2 linked regions of the Struthio camelus genome follow. The protein of the gene in region 2 interacts with the protein of the main gene of each other region in a pairwise test. Links are inferred from orthologs where the notes say so. Each region holds a gene or a part of one and is shown on either strand. Other genes may lie near its edges.

The links.
Region 1: the proteins of EEIG1 (region 2) and SKAP1 interact in binary tests that used the Homo sapiens proteins (3 or more experiments, as listed by UniProt). The two-hybrid records come from large-scale screens. The link is inferred for Struthio camelus from reciprocal best matches to the Homo sapiens genes EEIG1 and SKAP1.

What each region holds. Positions count from the first base shown.
Region 1 is NC_090966.1:5,546,835-5,554,438, reverse strand, and holds the start of SKAP1 (src kinase-associated phosphoprotein 1), read right to left. Parts: upstream 3,063-7,604; 5' UTR 2,970-3,062; coding exon 2,936-2,969; intron 1-2,935. UniProt on the Homo sapiens protein: Positively regulates T-cell receptor signaling by enhancing the MAP kinase pathway. Required for optimal conjugation between T-cells and antigen-presenting cells by promoting the clustering of integrin ITGAL on the surface of T-cells.
Region 2 is NC_090961.1:7,770,810-7,778,286, forward strand, and holds the start of EEIG1 (early estrogen-induced gene 1 protein), read right to left. Parts: upstream 3,002-7,477; 5' UTR 2,820-3,001; intron 2,809-2,819; exon of another isoform or gene 2,682-2,808; intron 2,253-2,681; exon of another isoform or gene 2,234-2,252; intron 1,592-2,233; exon of another isoform or gene 1,500-1,591; intron 990-1,499; 5' UTR 495-989; coding exon 349-494; intron 1-348. UniProt on the Homo sapiens protein: Key component of TNFSF11/RANKL- and TNF-induced osteoclastogenesis pathways, thereby mediates bone resorption in pathological bone loss conditions.

The sequences.
Region 1 (7,604 bases), on a different chromosome or scaffold from region 2:
TATTCCAGGGTTGACTATAGCTTACCCACTTTTACAAAACAGAGCATTTTGTTGTTTTTAAAACAGCATTAAGGCTGCTTGTCTTGAAATTAGCAACTGCCAGCTTTGTTGTGCTTCACAGGTGCAACCAGTCTTCCAGTGCAGCACCTGCTCTGACCTCTCCACTGCCCAAGCTCCAGCAAGAAAACAACTTTCCAGACCCACCAGCTGGCTTGAAGGGGATCAGGCAGAGCAGGCTAAGGCAAAGCAATCACATTGCCAGACTGCTTTTGCTTCTGCAAAAGGATAACAGAAACCCTATTTTTATCAGGGTTTTTGTTTTTTGAGAAACATTGTTTCAGCCTTCAGAAGAAATCTGCGCTAAACACACACAAAACACCCTTAGCCAAAGTACTTTTAAAAGGAACCTGTTTGAACCAAAAGTGAAACCCTGTGCAATTAATTTACTACATAGCTTTAATGAGAAACTGGTTCACCTATTTGCAACATGAAGCTTAAAGTAATACAACGTGGCTTAGTCACATCTAAGACACATCAGCTACCTATTCATAAGCATTGCAGGATTGCTATATAGAGGCAATATGCAGAGTGCATTGGTTTTCAACTGCTGCAGCCTCAGAGATGTCACTAGTGATGACACAACTGTTACTAGGAAGCCCTTCACTTGCTGTTCCTGTGCCTCTTGTGTACAGTCCTGTAGTATGGGCCAAACTTTAATATGTGGAAACAAATGTTATTGCCTGTACATCAGTACAGGCTTACTCCCATTTGTGATTATTCTAAGTAAAAGAATTCCTATGATAATGTAGTTGGCAACCACAGAAATAGCTTAAGCCCCTTCATTTCTAGTCACCATAGCTAGAAAACTCCTTAGCCTCTGGAAGGCCTCAAGACTGTACAAATTGTTAAGACACAGCAAGTTTGATACAGAGATGTGACACACAATTAATCTCCATTCATAGCCTGCTATACTTGTCAGCAAACAAAGGCTGTGCTTTAGAAGGAGATCTGAAACCTTCAATTAAAAACAGTCAGTTAACAAGAAAATAATCTAAGTTAAAGGAAGGTGGCAGGTGCAAAAATGAGTTGTTTACAAAAGTGTCAGCACTGAAACAATAAAGTGCTGCACATCAAAAATGTGAAAGGGTGAACTTCACTGAAGCCCCCACGATTAAAAAACACAGGAGAAAATTTACACCTACATCTGGGGGAAGACACAAAGCATTTGGAAGTGAGCTTTGATGGGCTTGGAGGCTGCACTCTCTCTCAAACTGAGAGATTCCAGGACTGGAAGTTATCCCAAGGCTCAGCGTGAAAGGGGCTACTGCTCCAAGCTGTCAGAAGCCATCTCGACAGGAAATGAGAGGTCACCAAACCTCAAGGCTGGCTGGGCCAGGCTCAAACACAACCACTCCGAGTGGCAAGCAGCAACCTGCCAACAACTCTTTCCCCACCACCCACACCTGAGGTAGCAGGATGTGTCAGCAGCATGGGCTGCTCAGCAAAGGGCTAACACCACTGTGCTAGCCTGCAACACTGCTATCACATTTTATTTATGGTGAGGTTAGAGAGAATTAGCAGAGGAGGAAGTCATCACATGAACAGACTTGAGCGTGGAGAGGAAAACAGTACTGTAGAGTAAAACTACCAACTCTGCAAGCAACTTCCCTTTTTGTTTGTGTGAATTCTTCCCGCAAGGACACACCAAGTGATCATTCAGTCACAGCAGAAAGGGAACTCAGAGCTCCAACAGCTTTTAACTTGACTGTTTAAGAAACTAAATAAAACACAAGCCAGACTCCTAAAACAAAAACAGCCTTGAAGTCCCAGGTTCGTAGCATCCCCTGAAGGGCCGACAGTGAGAGTCAGGGATAACGTGCACTAGGCTGAACTCACAGGAGTAACTTATACCCTCTCTGGGACTAATACAGTCACCTGCACGTGGCAATTCTCTCACCAAGCCTTTGCCTGCTGTACCATACCATGGTGATGGGGACAGCAATAGCCACAAAGTCCTTGAAAGTGTGCTTCACAACATGAACTAATTCCATACAGAGGAGTCTGGCATTGTTTCTGCTTGGCTGACCCACCATCTTAACAAGAAGTGCAAGAATTCAAGTTTGCTAAGAAACCCAGGAAAATCAATTTCAAAAGCCTCACATATGCCATCTTAGACATACAGAAGTAAATGCTGTCAACTGTAAGTGTAGTTCAGTCACTGAGATGCTGAGACCTCAGCAGATCACATTATCAAGCAGAAGCTGGGCTCAAAACCAGCTCTACACCCCCATTTCACTGGCATTGAAGCTTCCCTGAGGATTTATCCCCATAGGGCCAGCTTGCTCACTGCATCCTCTAGCGTGGCACAACACATTTAACACAACATCTAAGGCCAAGAGACACCTCTGTCAGAGCCACAACAAAGTTTGCTTAGAGGGTTCACTATAGCACACAAGCTTCTTCCACCCTTTGTACCAGCTCCCCTGTCCCACTGCAAGGGCACTGACCAGTGGAGTCACTCAATGCCTTACCTGAGAGCCCCCAGTAGAGACAGCTTCTGACCATACCCCTGCCCCCCCCCCAAGGTCTCTCACACACTTTTCTCCCCTGACACACAGGCTTCGGGATCACCAGAGAGCTTCCCCATCCCAAATCACAGAACGTCACCACAGACCCACCTTACCCACCAGGGGCAACACAAGGACACTCTCAAGAGTGCCAGAACAGGCAGCTCTGCTCCCTACAGTTAGGGGTGCAGAAGACATACATAACCTGAGCACCCAGACACCACAGCTTCAGCCTCCATAGTTCCCCCCCTCCTACTCCCCTCTCTGGCTCAGCACAGCCACATCCAAATAGTCCTTGAGCCTCTTCCCCTGCAACTGTAGCTTTTCCCAGTTAGGCAGAGGGGGAGCAAGAAGGAAGCTGTGGTTACCTTCAAGGAGTCTCTGAATCTCCTCTGGGATCATGCTACTGCCACCTTCTCTCCACAGGAGTCAAACCTGCCGCTCCTGCTCACGTCCCTGTCCCCAGGCAGGGCTGAGTGCAGGAGGAAGCGGGGAGGCGGGGATGCCCCGGGGAAGGTAGGAGGAACCGGGGCTCGGCTGCCTCCTCCGGCAGCGGCCCCAGCCCCCTTGCCGCGGCCTTGCAGGGAGGAACAAGGTGCCAAAGTGCCCAGGACGCACCAGGACCAACACCTCGGTATTCCCCCCGGGCCACTGGGCTCTAGCCAACAACCTGCAGATGTGCCTGATACCAGCCCCCAGAGCAACACAGCTGAAACAATGCTCCCTGCATTAGCATTTAAATCAGGTGGCACTTAGGCATGTTTCTCCTTCATTATCACATAATTCTGTACACCTGCTGGTAGAGGAGACCCATGAGCTCGGTGAGTATGTGTGGCCATATATTTAACTTCCAGTGCCTGTTCCTAGCACAAGATGAGCTGGGGGTTGGATCTGGTCCAGGCAAAGGCATGCTCCTTCCTCTAATGTGCAGGGGAAGAGAGCGGTACTTGGCTCATCTGCAATAAAACTTCCCCTCTTCCTGCATCCTGCTTAGGAAGGGAGCTAGATTGTAATGACCATTCATATTTCTACATCTTGCCCGGCAGAAGAGCAAGGTTGCACACTTTAACTTGCTTTATGATAGGCAATAAATGCAAACCGCACTCTACAAAACAAAAATGGCATTGCATTAGATTAACCCACAGTCTTACATCTGCTTCCCTCCTATATAAATGAATTAGCACAGGCTGACCAGGCTATGAGGATATCACAATTGTTTTCAGTCCTTGCATTCCCAAATTTTAGGCTCAATCCTGACAAATTCAAAGACAGTCTTCCTTATCTGAAGCTCACCAATGATTCCAAGGGCTAACCTGAGATTCCCCAAGGATTAAGTGTACATGATCCAGTCCTTACTTTGCACAGTGTCCCACTATCCTTCAGTAGTATCAAAAAAGTATTTATGATTATAGTACATGGATAATGTTTTTCTGCCACTTTTACTTTTCTGACATTCTATGCATGACATATGATTTTTTAATTATATTTTCCTAACCTAGCAAATGTTGGAGATGACAAAAAAAGAAAGCAATCAGGCTGTGTTGACCACGGGCACAAAACCACACAGCTTCACTAAAATTCATGCTTGCTGTTTTCGCCAGGGGCAAAATACAAGCTCCTGATAGTGCAGAAGCAGGGCTGAAACTGGGATCTCACTGTATACCAAGGTGTATCATAGTGTCATGAGGTAGGGACACTCCGAACTGTCAGAGAAGGAAACTCCTTAAAACCGCTTCTCTTGATGCTTTCCTGACCTGCTGCTCTGGGCAAACCAGCCTGCCACAGTAGTTATCACAGGCTGGAAAAGCAAAATCTCTGGGGGAAGAGAAAAAAAAGAGTGCATTGGGCTCCCAGCCCCCAAAGACCGGGATACACAAACACTTCACTATGGTCTCACTGGCTTCAGTGGGACAATGCCATGTTTTGAGGCTGAGTGTATTTCTAAATAATTGCAGAATCAGATTCTTACAGCTCTCCAGGTGCATCACCTGGAAGGAATAAGGCTTAGCTATTGGGCAGCCATCAATGTAGGAAACCTGGAACAGGATCCAGCTTTGCTCCAAGCTTCTTGCTTGGTTCAGTCAAGACAATGTGTGCTTGAGGTCTACCCTGGAGATGTGATGTAAAAGCTTCACTGGGAAATGCACAGGTATGGGAGCTATGGAAGTTTATCAGATAGATGCTCCACCGTATGCTATAAGCTGGTAACATGATTTGTGACCTACTTTCTGAGACACATGGTTGCAAAAAAGGAAAAAGACTGTATTGTGCTTTTAGTTGATCAGTACAAATCAGATAAAGAACAGGTGTAAGATGAAGTGCAGTGCTTTGTTTTTTGGTTTGGGGCATGTGTGCCTGCAGTTCTAGTGTGTTGGCTCCACTGGAGACAGCAGAGTGAAAGGGGAAAACCCCAAAAGCAGCTGCAAAGTACTTTTATTACTTTTAAATTGAAACATGCACTTTTATGCATGGGAGCAGCACCATGGTAAATCACACTTGTCAAGAAGGGATGGTTTTAAAGGAGAAGTGAAGGTACCATGACCATAAGTGTGTTTAGTGTACACAATGGGAAAAGTGGTGTTGCACACTGCTTTCTGCACAGTGAGTCTCTCAGAGTAGTAAAGCTGAAGTGGCAGCTCCCATTTGGGGTTTAGTCACAAAGAGGAGAAGACATTTTGCTTTAGCTCACACTCAGGGAGACTTCATTGCTCTCTAGATCTGTGGAGAGCAGCCTACCACCACTTCCGATTTGTCACTTGGCTGCTTTCTGTACATGCATGTAATTTCACAATAACCTGGAGATAGACTTCAGGTCTGACATTACCGCCCTAGACCTTACAAGTTTCCTATTTTGAGTGTAAAGTTCACTCAGTGTCTGTCCTTCGCCCTTTGTCTTGTATCCTGCTGGGCAGGCTTACGCTCCCTGACAACAGAGCTGCAGCATATTCTTGATTTGAGGACTCCATGTACAAGAAATTGCTTCTCAGTGGCACTGGATGCAAGGGCCTTAGAGCACAGAAAATGTTGCTGCAGTTCAGAAGGCCTCACATGGAAGGTGGGCTTGCTTGAAAGCTATTGTCTTTCCCATTATGTGTAAGGTCAGGACTGAGAAAATTGACAGTCTCCTAGGGGGACAAAATTTGAATCTCTGTTAGCTGCATAAGGCCCCCAACACATTTGAGTGGTTCTGATTGTATGCAAGAAACGGTAGCATGTGTTCTCACCTGGAGGTGTTTAGGTGTAAATATTTAAATGTTTCTGTGTAAAATTCCTAGTCCGTTCATTACAGCCCGAAAATAAAAAGCAGCTGCTTTCTGAGACTAACTTTAAAAATGAGTTTATAAGGAAACGAACTAGGTCCCTTAAACTGAAGAAACTGCCTTCAGATATGCCAGAAAGATCAATGAAGCCTGATCAATGCAAATCTCAAAGGAAAAAATGTTCATGCAACTGCAAAGAAAAGGATCATCTCACATCTCTCTGCTTTTCTGTAGCAACTGCTTATGTAACGGTTTGAAAAAACAGTGCAAATAGTGAACTAGAAGATAGCTGGTCACTAAGTCTTGTTCAAGAACTAAACAATTTATCATATTTAAGGTCTAGAATAAATTTTTCCTCATGTCAAACTGCAGGGACTTGTTTTGTGGATCTTTTGGTTTGCCTTCCTTTGCAGCTTTGGGTGTAATCACTGCTTAAGAGCATACGAGGACTTCACCCAGCAAATTTCCTGCTCTTGCAGTACTTATGCCATTAGTACAGCTCTAGATCTTTTCTGCTGTACTTCTGGGATACATTGCAGTTGTGATTTTTGGTCTTTTGCTACAGCTCTTAAGGCCATCATGAGGTACTGAAAGTACAGGACCGTGTGGAGGCTGGTGCTGTTGCACCATAGGTGCTTTAGACATCTATCCCATGGCCCTGGGAGCTGGGAACAGGACTCAGCACCTAGAATATTTCCCTCAGGCCCTACATGAAGATTTTGTTAAGATAAGGCTGACTGTGTAGAAGGTATTGTTTTTATTAAATCCATTTTACTGAGAAACATTGAGGCACAGAGCCTCAGCTGCCACGGAGATGTAGATGCTATTACCTGAAACCCCAGCACAATGCAGTAGCCCAGCCAAGCCCTGGCAGATAGAGCCAGGCAGACTGATTCCCAGGCTAATGACCTGTTTTTCCCTGCTTTTTTTCTTGCCACTTTCATTTTTGAATGTGTGAATAGGTTACAAATTTAGTTTAGTGGTCATCTGGGAAGGAGATGGGGGAGGCTGGCAGGGACTGACAAGTTCCACTGTGTCATTGTTATATAGCATCAAGTTTTACGGGCTATGGATGTAAAGCTGCCTCCCTACATGATAAAAGCCCCACCTTAATCATTTTAGGTCCTAAGTTCAGCAGACAGGCTCTCTCCTAATGCTATTCTGTTAAATGGACAAATTCCTTTGAAGGCTTGTCTTGTTTTGAAATCCAATTTCACAGGAAGCCAGATGCGATTGGGTGTAGCTATGGAAACAAAGCAGGGCAGCCTTAGAAGAGCTGAGCGATGCAAGGTAAAATGTGAGAGTCAGAGTCCTTTACTGCTCTGTCGGAAATATCAAAGGATCTGGAGAGGTTGGCAGGAGATGTGTCCCTGTTACGGACTGTTCTGTGTGGCTGGGTACCAGCGCCTGTCAGCAGAGGTAAGCAGCCAGCTGTGCTGTCACACAGGCTGAATAGGTGCTGAATGCACAAAACCAGGGGGTGCAGGCTCTCGAGTTCTCGTCTGCTCCCTCCCAGCTCCTCCAGCGCATCAGCATCGCAGCCTTCCCCTCTGCCATTGGGAAAGGTTAACAACAAAAGGGTAACAAGGTTAAACCACAAAGCCCCAGCTGATAACAGCCCTTTCAAGCAGCTGCACTGAAATTAATCTGAAACTTCTAGTAATTAGATAAGATAAGGATGTGTGCATGCTCACGCGGGCACACGCTGACCCTGGGACACCCATTCCACAGAGGAGGTGGAGGATCATAGGATTTGTTAAACTGGATCAGATTATTT
Region 2 (7,477 bases):
AAAATTTGGGTAAGGGAGGGAGGGAAAGAGAGAGAGAGAGAGAGAGAGAGAGAGAGAGAGAGAGAACGTTTTCATCAACAAACTCCAATCTCCTTCGGGGGTGCGACCTCCCACCCTCCAAGCCTCCGAAAAGTTCAATCTAGCTCTGGTCAGACAACAATAACCAGGCTCAGAGCTCTCCAGCTACATTCTTCCTCCCCTCTGGAGGACGGTGTGGCATGTGGGGCCCTAAAACAGAACTATTAAAAACACATCAAGGGGCAGGCGAGTGGTAGCCATATGCCGAACCATTCAAGTAGAGAAAAACCGGGAAAAGAAGAAGAGCCAGGAAGCAAGTTAGCTTCTTACCTGCTAGATAAGCTAGCAAAGTCTCCTCCGTCCAGCAGCCTGATTTTGCAGAACAGAACCCCATTCACAAAGGGGACAGCCGTCAGCTCTTCTAGAGTGAAGCTTGTCTGAAATTTGAATTTCTTTTTCTTCATCAGGAAAGCCATGGGCAGATTCAGCGTGGAAAGCCCAGGAATTCCAAACAAGATTAGGGAGGAGCAGCTCAAAACACACACGGACAAACAGGGGAACGGCCGGCAGTCGTTCCAGGAGCGTAAGCAGGGAGTAAATTCCAGTTCAGTTACAATGACGGCCCAGCTTCAAATGCACAATCCTCTTCTCTTTGGTGGTCGGGTCTGGCTGTGGGATCATTGCCACGGCAGGCTTCAGGTGGGGAGGAAGAAGACAGGTTATATCTCTGCAACATCTCCAAGGGAAAAAGAAGGGAGAAAAGTAAGTCTCAGCTCCAGACCAGCAGGAGCTGTCCCAATTAGAGGCTGCAGCGCTCTGTCTTCATCAGAATTCCTCCAGAAAGCATGTCTCACAGGAAGTCATCTTGGGTCTCTGAAGAAGCCTCGGGTCTGTGTGCAGCTCATTCAGAAAGCTGCCAGCTTCTCCCTCCTCTTCTTGTGCAATCACTTCATACAGGTCTTCGGGTCAGCCTTTGGGAGGGAAATGAGTAAATTAGTCCCAGCCACTCTTAGGCTCCTCCTACTCTAAAACCTGTTTGGATGGATAACATTGAGTCCAGACTCATAGCAGCCTTAAGAAATACGGCCTCAATTAGCCTGGCCCCAACACCCTCTTCCCCCTTCTGGTCTAGAGGAAGCCTCACTGTTGTCCCTACCCTGGTCGTCTCTGTTTTGCAAAGTGGTTATTAAAAATCTATTCTTTTACAATTATTTTCATTCATCATCTTCAGAAGCAATTTACTGAGCAAGAGTAGTTTAACATATAGTCTAATAACAGCAAGTAAAGCAACCTCAAGAAATGCAAAATCTTTTTCTTTTCTGTTTTTCTAACCAGCCCTAAGTGTTAGCACCTGTATCTTACAGATGGAGATACCAGCACGGAGAGGAAAGAAGGGAAAAAAAAAAAAAAAGCAGCCTGCTCCAGACTGCCCAGCATAACAACCAAACCAGGTCATCGGGCTGTCCAATAGCCAGGCCCACCGAGTTACGCTGCCTCCCCCTTGCATCCGATCTACACCAAGCAGTTCTCTTCAGTTCAGTTTTTGGGCCAGCGCCTGTCATTTCACTGTACGTTTACAAAGCACCTAAGCCTGCGAGGCCAAACGCAGCCAAAAGCTGATTAGCATCTAAAGAGGACGAGGTTATAAACACTGAGCAGTAAACAGCCCCTGCATATACTAAGAATTAAGAGACTGTGAATTAACCCGAGCAAAGCTCCTGCTCCCTGCTGCGTTTTTTTAATTTGCTGTTAAAGCCAAGAGAGCGGACCGGGGCTCGCAGGGGTCTGCCCGCGGGGCGGCACAGGGGCGGACTGCTCGCCGCTTCACAGCGCCAGCCCCTCCAGGAGCCATGCCTGCCCCGCGTGCCCACGCACCGAGCTGCAGCTAGGTCTCGGCTGTCTCGCAGTCCCCTGGAGCGCGCACTAAGATGCGGACAGGTCTCAACCCACCTCCGGGCCCCCGGGAGTAGGCATCAGGCTGTGGCGAGGTCACAGCCTGTCTCCTGGCACCCCTAGGGCACGCATTAGTCTGCAGCCAGGTCTCAGCCCAACTTCTGGGCCGTGTACTGAACCTGGTGAGGTCTCAGCCCACCTCCCAGCCTCATAAACCATGCACTGAACTGCAACCAGATCTCAGCCCACCTCTAGGCCTCATGGAAAATACACCAAGCTGCAGCCAGGTCTCAGCCCACCTCCCAGCCCGTGCACCATGCACCGAGCTGCAGCCAGGTCTCAGCCCACCTCCCGGTCCACGCACCGAGCTGCGGCCAGGTCTCAGCCCACCTCCCAGCCCGTGCACCATGCACCGAGCTGCAGCCAGGTCTCAGCCCACCTCCCGGTCCACGCACCGAGCTGCGGCCAGGTCTCAGCCCACCTCCCAGCCCGTGCACCATGCACCGAGCTGCAGCCAGGTCTCAGCCCACCTCCCAGCCCGTGCACCATGCACCGAGCTGCAGCCAGGTCTCAGCCCACCTCCCGGTCCACGCACCGAGCTGCGGCCAGGTCTCAGCCCACCTCCCAGCCCGTGCACCATGCACCGAGCTGCAGCCAGGTCTCAGCCCACCTCCCGGTCCACGCACCGAGCTGCGGCCAGGTCTCAGCCCACCTCCCAGTCCACGCAATGAGCTGCGGCCAGGTCTCAGCCCACCTCCCAGTCCACGCACCGAGCTGTGGCCAGGTCTCAGCCCACCTCCTGGTCTCCGAGTCCTGAGATGAGCTGCGGCCAAGTCTCAGCCCCCTTCCCGGCACCCTCCCTGACCCGCGGCCCGGCCGGGCCCTGCCCGCCCCCGGCCCGCTCGCACCTCCTGCCCTTGCCTCACACGGCCGCCGCGGCCACCGCTGCTCCCCGCCACGGCCGCCTCTGCCAGCGCTACGCCAAGTGCGGCCGCTACGCCAACACCGCAGGCAGCCACAAGGCAGAGCAAAGCCACCACCGCGCTTCGGGAATACCGACCCGACACTACGTAACCCCCCTCCACCGCCTTCCTCCCCAGGGAGGAGGGGACGGGAGCACGAGAGCGGCGCCACCCGATTGGACAGCAGCAAGGAGGCGGGCCGGGGGAGCGGGGCTTTGATTGGTTGCTCTGGCACGGGGCGGGGAAGGGCGCGCAGGGATGGGAGGAAGAGGCTGTCGGTTTGGGGAAGGCCCGCCCCCTCGCTCGGCCGTGGGCGGGAAGCGGGGGGCGCAGCAGCGGCGGCCCGGGGGTCGCCTCAGCGGGGCAGGGGGCTACGGCGCAGCCGGCGGGACCGCGGCCCGTGGCCGCTTCCCCGGCCGGGTGGCTGCCCGGGCTGTGGGGCTCCGGGGGCTCGCTGCGGGGATGGCAGGCCTCGGCCCTCGGGGGCGCGGGGCCGCGCTGAGGGGAGCCGAGGCCTCCCGCCGCCGCTGACGGAGGAGGCAGCCCTGAGGGACGCGGGTTCCGCGCCCCCCTGCAGCGCTGCCCCTGGCCAGCCAGAGCGTCTCGCGAGGACCTCTTGCCTCCTCCGCGCCCCAGCGCTTTCCCCAGCCACACGTTTTCCCATGGTTTTGCCCCAAACCATGCAGGCTCCTTTACCAGCACGGCAGCCTCGCCGGCAGCCTCCGGCCTGGTTATGCCGGAGCGGGAGAGGGGCTGTGGCCCTGCACAGCAAACTCCTGCCGGGCAGCGCCGGGAGCTGGAGGAGTTTCACCTTCTGTGGGTGAGATGTGGCAACCAGTTAAATACATCTCTCCATCAAAATGGCTCCCTCCTGTTACTAGGTACTGCCGCCTCGTGCTGCGCTTGCGGCTGGCGTCCCTGGTCAGGCAGGATTCCATTGTTTCAGGGCGAGCAGCACCAAACGTCTCTCCTTCCAAAGGCGCTTACCACTCGTCAACGTGATTTGCCTATTTTGAAGTTAGGGATGTGCCTAGGAGTCTTCCTGAAGCAAAGCTGTTACAGAGAAGAAGTTGAAGCTCGTAGTGGAGGGACTTTTCCCAAGGTTGAGTTGCATGTCTGGCAAAGCTTGGATGAAAGCCTGGGAGTATGGCTCTATTTGCTGAGCTTTGATGCCCAGATCCTATGCCTTTAATCTTTGCCATCAATGCAGACAATATCAGAGCTTTCAAGTAATTCTACCACAATGTGAACCTTTCAGGAAAATTGTAGGAAAACCACTCAGAAGTTGACTTGGCTAAAAGTTAAAAGTTGGATTAGACCAAACGCTTTGTTAGGACAATTCTTGCTCGCTAGAATAAACAGATACGCAGACTGAGGGCTGGGAATACATTTCTTCCATATTGGCACAATGAAACCGCTGTGGGATATGTCGGTTTTCCCATACAGCAGAGTTTGGAGAGGCTGTTTTCAAAGGCAGGGCTTGAAGCCATTCTGTCGGTTGATATCTAGTGTTTACAAGGTCACAAGACATTGGTGTACCTAGGCTGTTTTTTGCTTTCTGTTTCTTGGTTTATTGGGGAAGAACTCAGTCTGCTAAATACTTAATATTTGTCAAACTGGGAAGGTTGACTATTGGAAGCATGTAAAGAATCCAGCCCGGTCCCTTATGCTTCTCATTCTGCACCCTGAGCACTGTGACAGACACGTCGATCTTTTGCTTCCATCACTAGATAAAGGACACACGATCGTCTGTTTGTGATGTGGGAGGAGGCCTTGTTGTTATCTGGTATGATTCACTCTGATAAATAACCTCCTTGGAGGACTTTTCTCGTCGTTTATAGCAACAGGCCTGAATGCTAAAGTTTACAGAGATTTTAATCCCTGCTGTTCTCACGCATATGTACTGTGCAGTTTTATCAGAAACATCTCTTGAAAACCTCAGTGTTTTTATAATTAATTGAATAATGTGACTGATGTTAAAAATAAACGGATTTGGAAAAATGCCCAGTGAGTGCTGAACAGTGTGTAATATAGCAACTGTAGCTGGATTCTCAGGGGTATGTATATTTTCCTAACAAAGGCAGTCTCATGACTTTGAGATTAAATCTTTATTAGTTCGAAATTCACCCTGTTGATTTTTCTGTGTTTATACCGCATAATAGTTTCTGGACAAATTCACATTTTTAAAGGGACAGTACTTTGCCAAATGCCTCTGATGTGCCCTACTGGGAGAGAGGTTGCAGTGAGTCAGTGAGTTAGTCTGAGCTCCGCAGAGGTACCACAGAGGGAACATGGGGAGTAGACTGGATGCTGATAGCGCCTGGGAGTCTCGTAAGTCTTGCAAATATCGCAATGCAGGAATAACATGCCTCGGTTTCTTTCAGATTGGAGAGCGGTGTAGCTCTGTCCATCCACCGCTCTGCTGGCTTTGTATTATTGTCCGATCCAGTCCCAACCATTCACTAAAGGGCCATGCGTGTGAGCAGGGCATTCTGATACGTGTTAATTCTGCCTACCCCCGGCGCAGATCTTCCCATGCCAGCGACTGCTCTTCTACCACCTTGGCTCCCCTGCGCTCACTTCCTCACCTCTGCTCCATGAACCTCAGCCATGGCCTTGCCCACGCGCTCCTTGACCTAAGCCTTTCCTGCCAGTACTTCCTCAACTTTTGCTGGCACAGGGCATTATCTTATCAGCCCTGGCTAATTTATCAACTTGGGCTCTGCTTCAGACTGGGCCTCACTTCTGCTATCACGAAAGAACTGCGTCTCACCAGCGAGGGGCTGGGATCTGTGCTCTCTGCTCCCCTTGGCACCCGAGGAGTGATCGGGGACAGAGATGGCTTTTCTAGCCTCCGGCGCTCCTCCTCTACCCCCGACTTGGAGCACCAAGGTACATAAACAAGGAAGAAATGAGGCAAGATCAATTCAAAAGACACAAAACTCAGTGGAGCGGAGTGAATTGAGATAGATTCTGTAAAGCATTTGGTGAGCCATCTAATTCTATCTCTAAGCCCAGAGGAATCCCAGATACACGAGCAAATCATCAAGCCCTATAAACTACATTATCAGTTTCTTCCCCGGGAAAATATCATCAGACAAATACATTTGTCCTAGCAGCCAAATGATGAAAGTTTGAAAACTAAATTATGCACAATTGCTGCAACCATGTAAGCACAATAATGGATGTCTTCTATTACATATGTAATAACCTCTGTTACAATAGCCTTAATGAGCTTTCAGTCTTGTCATCAAAAAAAAGAAAAAAGAAAAAAGAAAAAAGAAAAAGATTATCACAAATGCTTTATGCTATAAATATATTCTTCGCGCTGCCGGTGGCCAAACACCTGCAGTGCACCTGCTCTATGAAACTGTGCTGGGAGCTGTGGTCAGGCGCCCGCAGCGGGTACCTTTCCAAGAGCTCCGGGGGAGCCCCAGGCCAGGGGAGTCCCCAAAGCGGGGCAGGGTGCAGCTGGTGGCTGTGGCGTGCGCTGCACGGATGGGTCCCCGAGGCAGGGCACCGCGGTGATGTGAGCCCCATCTATGGCGCGCAGGCTGTTGGAAACTGGGCGAAGGGAGACGTGTACCCATCTCCATTAGACAGGATTCTCCTATGATATGGAGTTACTCTAAGCTTATATCGTCTCAGCTTACTTTAATAATAGGCTGCAAGCTCCACTTTGATCTGTTTCTATTTTTTATAGTTCCATCTTTAACTGAACTTGCCGTAATACAGGCCAGGGACTGTTTCACTTTCTCTGCCAGGCTGGGTTTCCCATTGGGCATGCAAAGAAAACACCTGCATGGTGCGTTTCTGGCTTGCGGGGACTGGGAATCCTGTTATCTGCGGAGCAAAGGGAGCACAAGAATCTGGAGTCAGTGGATTCCTTTCTCTAAGCATGCAGCTAGACCTGAAAATCCTGCTGTCTGGCTTTTTTTTGTTTACTGGTTTCCACGTCTTCCCAATGTTTCTTGGGAAAGTGGAGCAGGGCTCTCCCTTTGTTTCTAGGAGGCCTATCAGCAGCATGGGTGGGAGCTGGTTTGCCCCTTCCAAAATCTTCAGACTTGAACCTGCTTTGCCTTGAGGCTTGTCATGTTTAAGCATTGTCCTGTATCTATAGCCCAGGTGTCACCTTCAGCGCTCTCCAGGGCCGAGACGCATTGGCAGTGCCAGCACAGCGCTCTCCAATGGGATCCATTTTTCTGGCTGCAGCCCCCACAGATGCTGCTGTCACCCCTAATTTGGGATCCCAGGCAGTGCAGCCAGCAGAAACTGTCCTTACCGGGCCTGAGTGTCTGCGATGAAGCACCTAGGGATAATCACCTTGCAGCATCGGGACCCTAGGGCTGATGAGTCCAGTTTGCAGGTGACTTGGGTTTCATTCCTACTCATAAAACGCAGTCTGGAAGCCGTGCTGATCATTCATGTGAAGCTTCCTGTCAGATGCTTTCAAGAAAGATCTTAAATTTAAATGCACAGATTTAAACACAACAGACCTCGCTGTTGCTGGCAATAACCTCTCAGATATCAACAGCAAAACATCAGAAGAATGCTTTGCCAAAACAGGCTTGGTACACTTAAAAAACGTTTTGGAGGAGATAAAA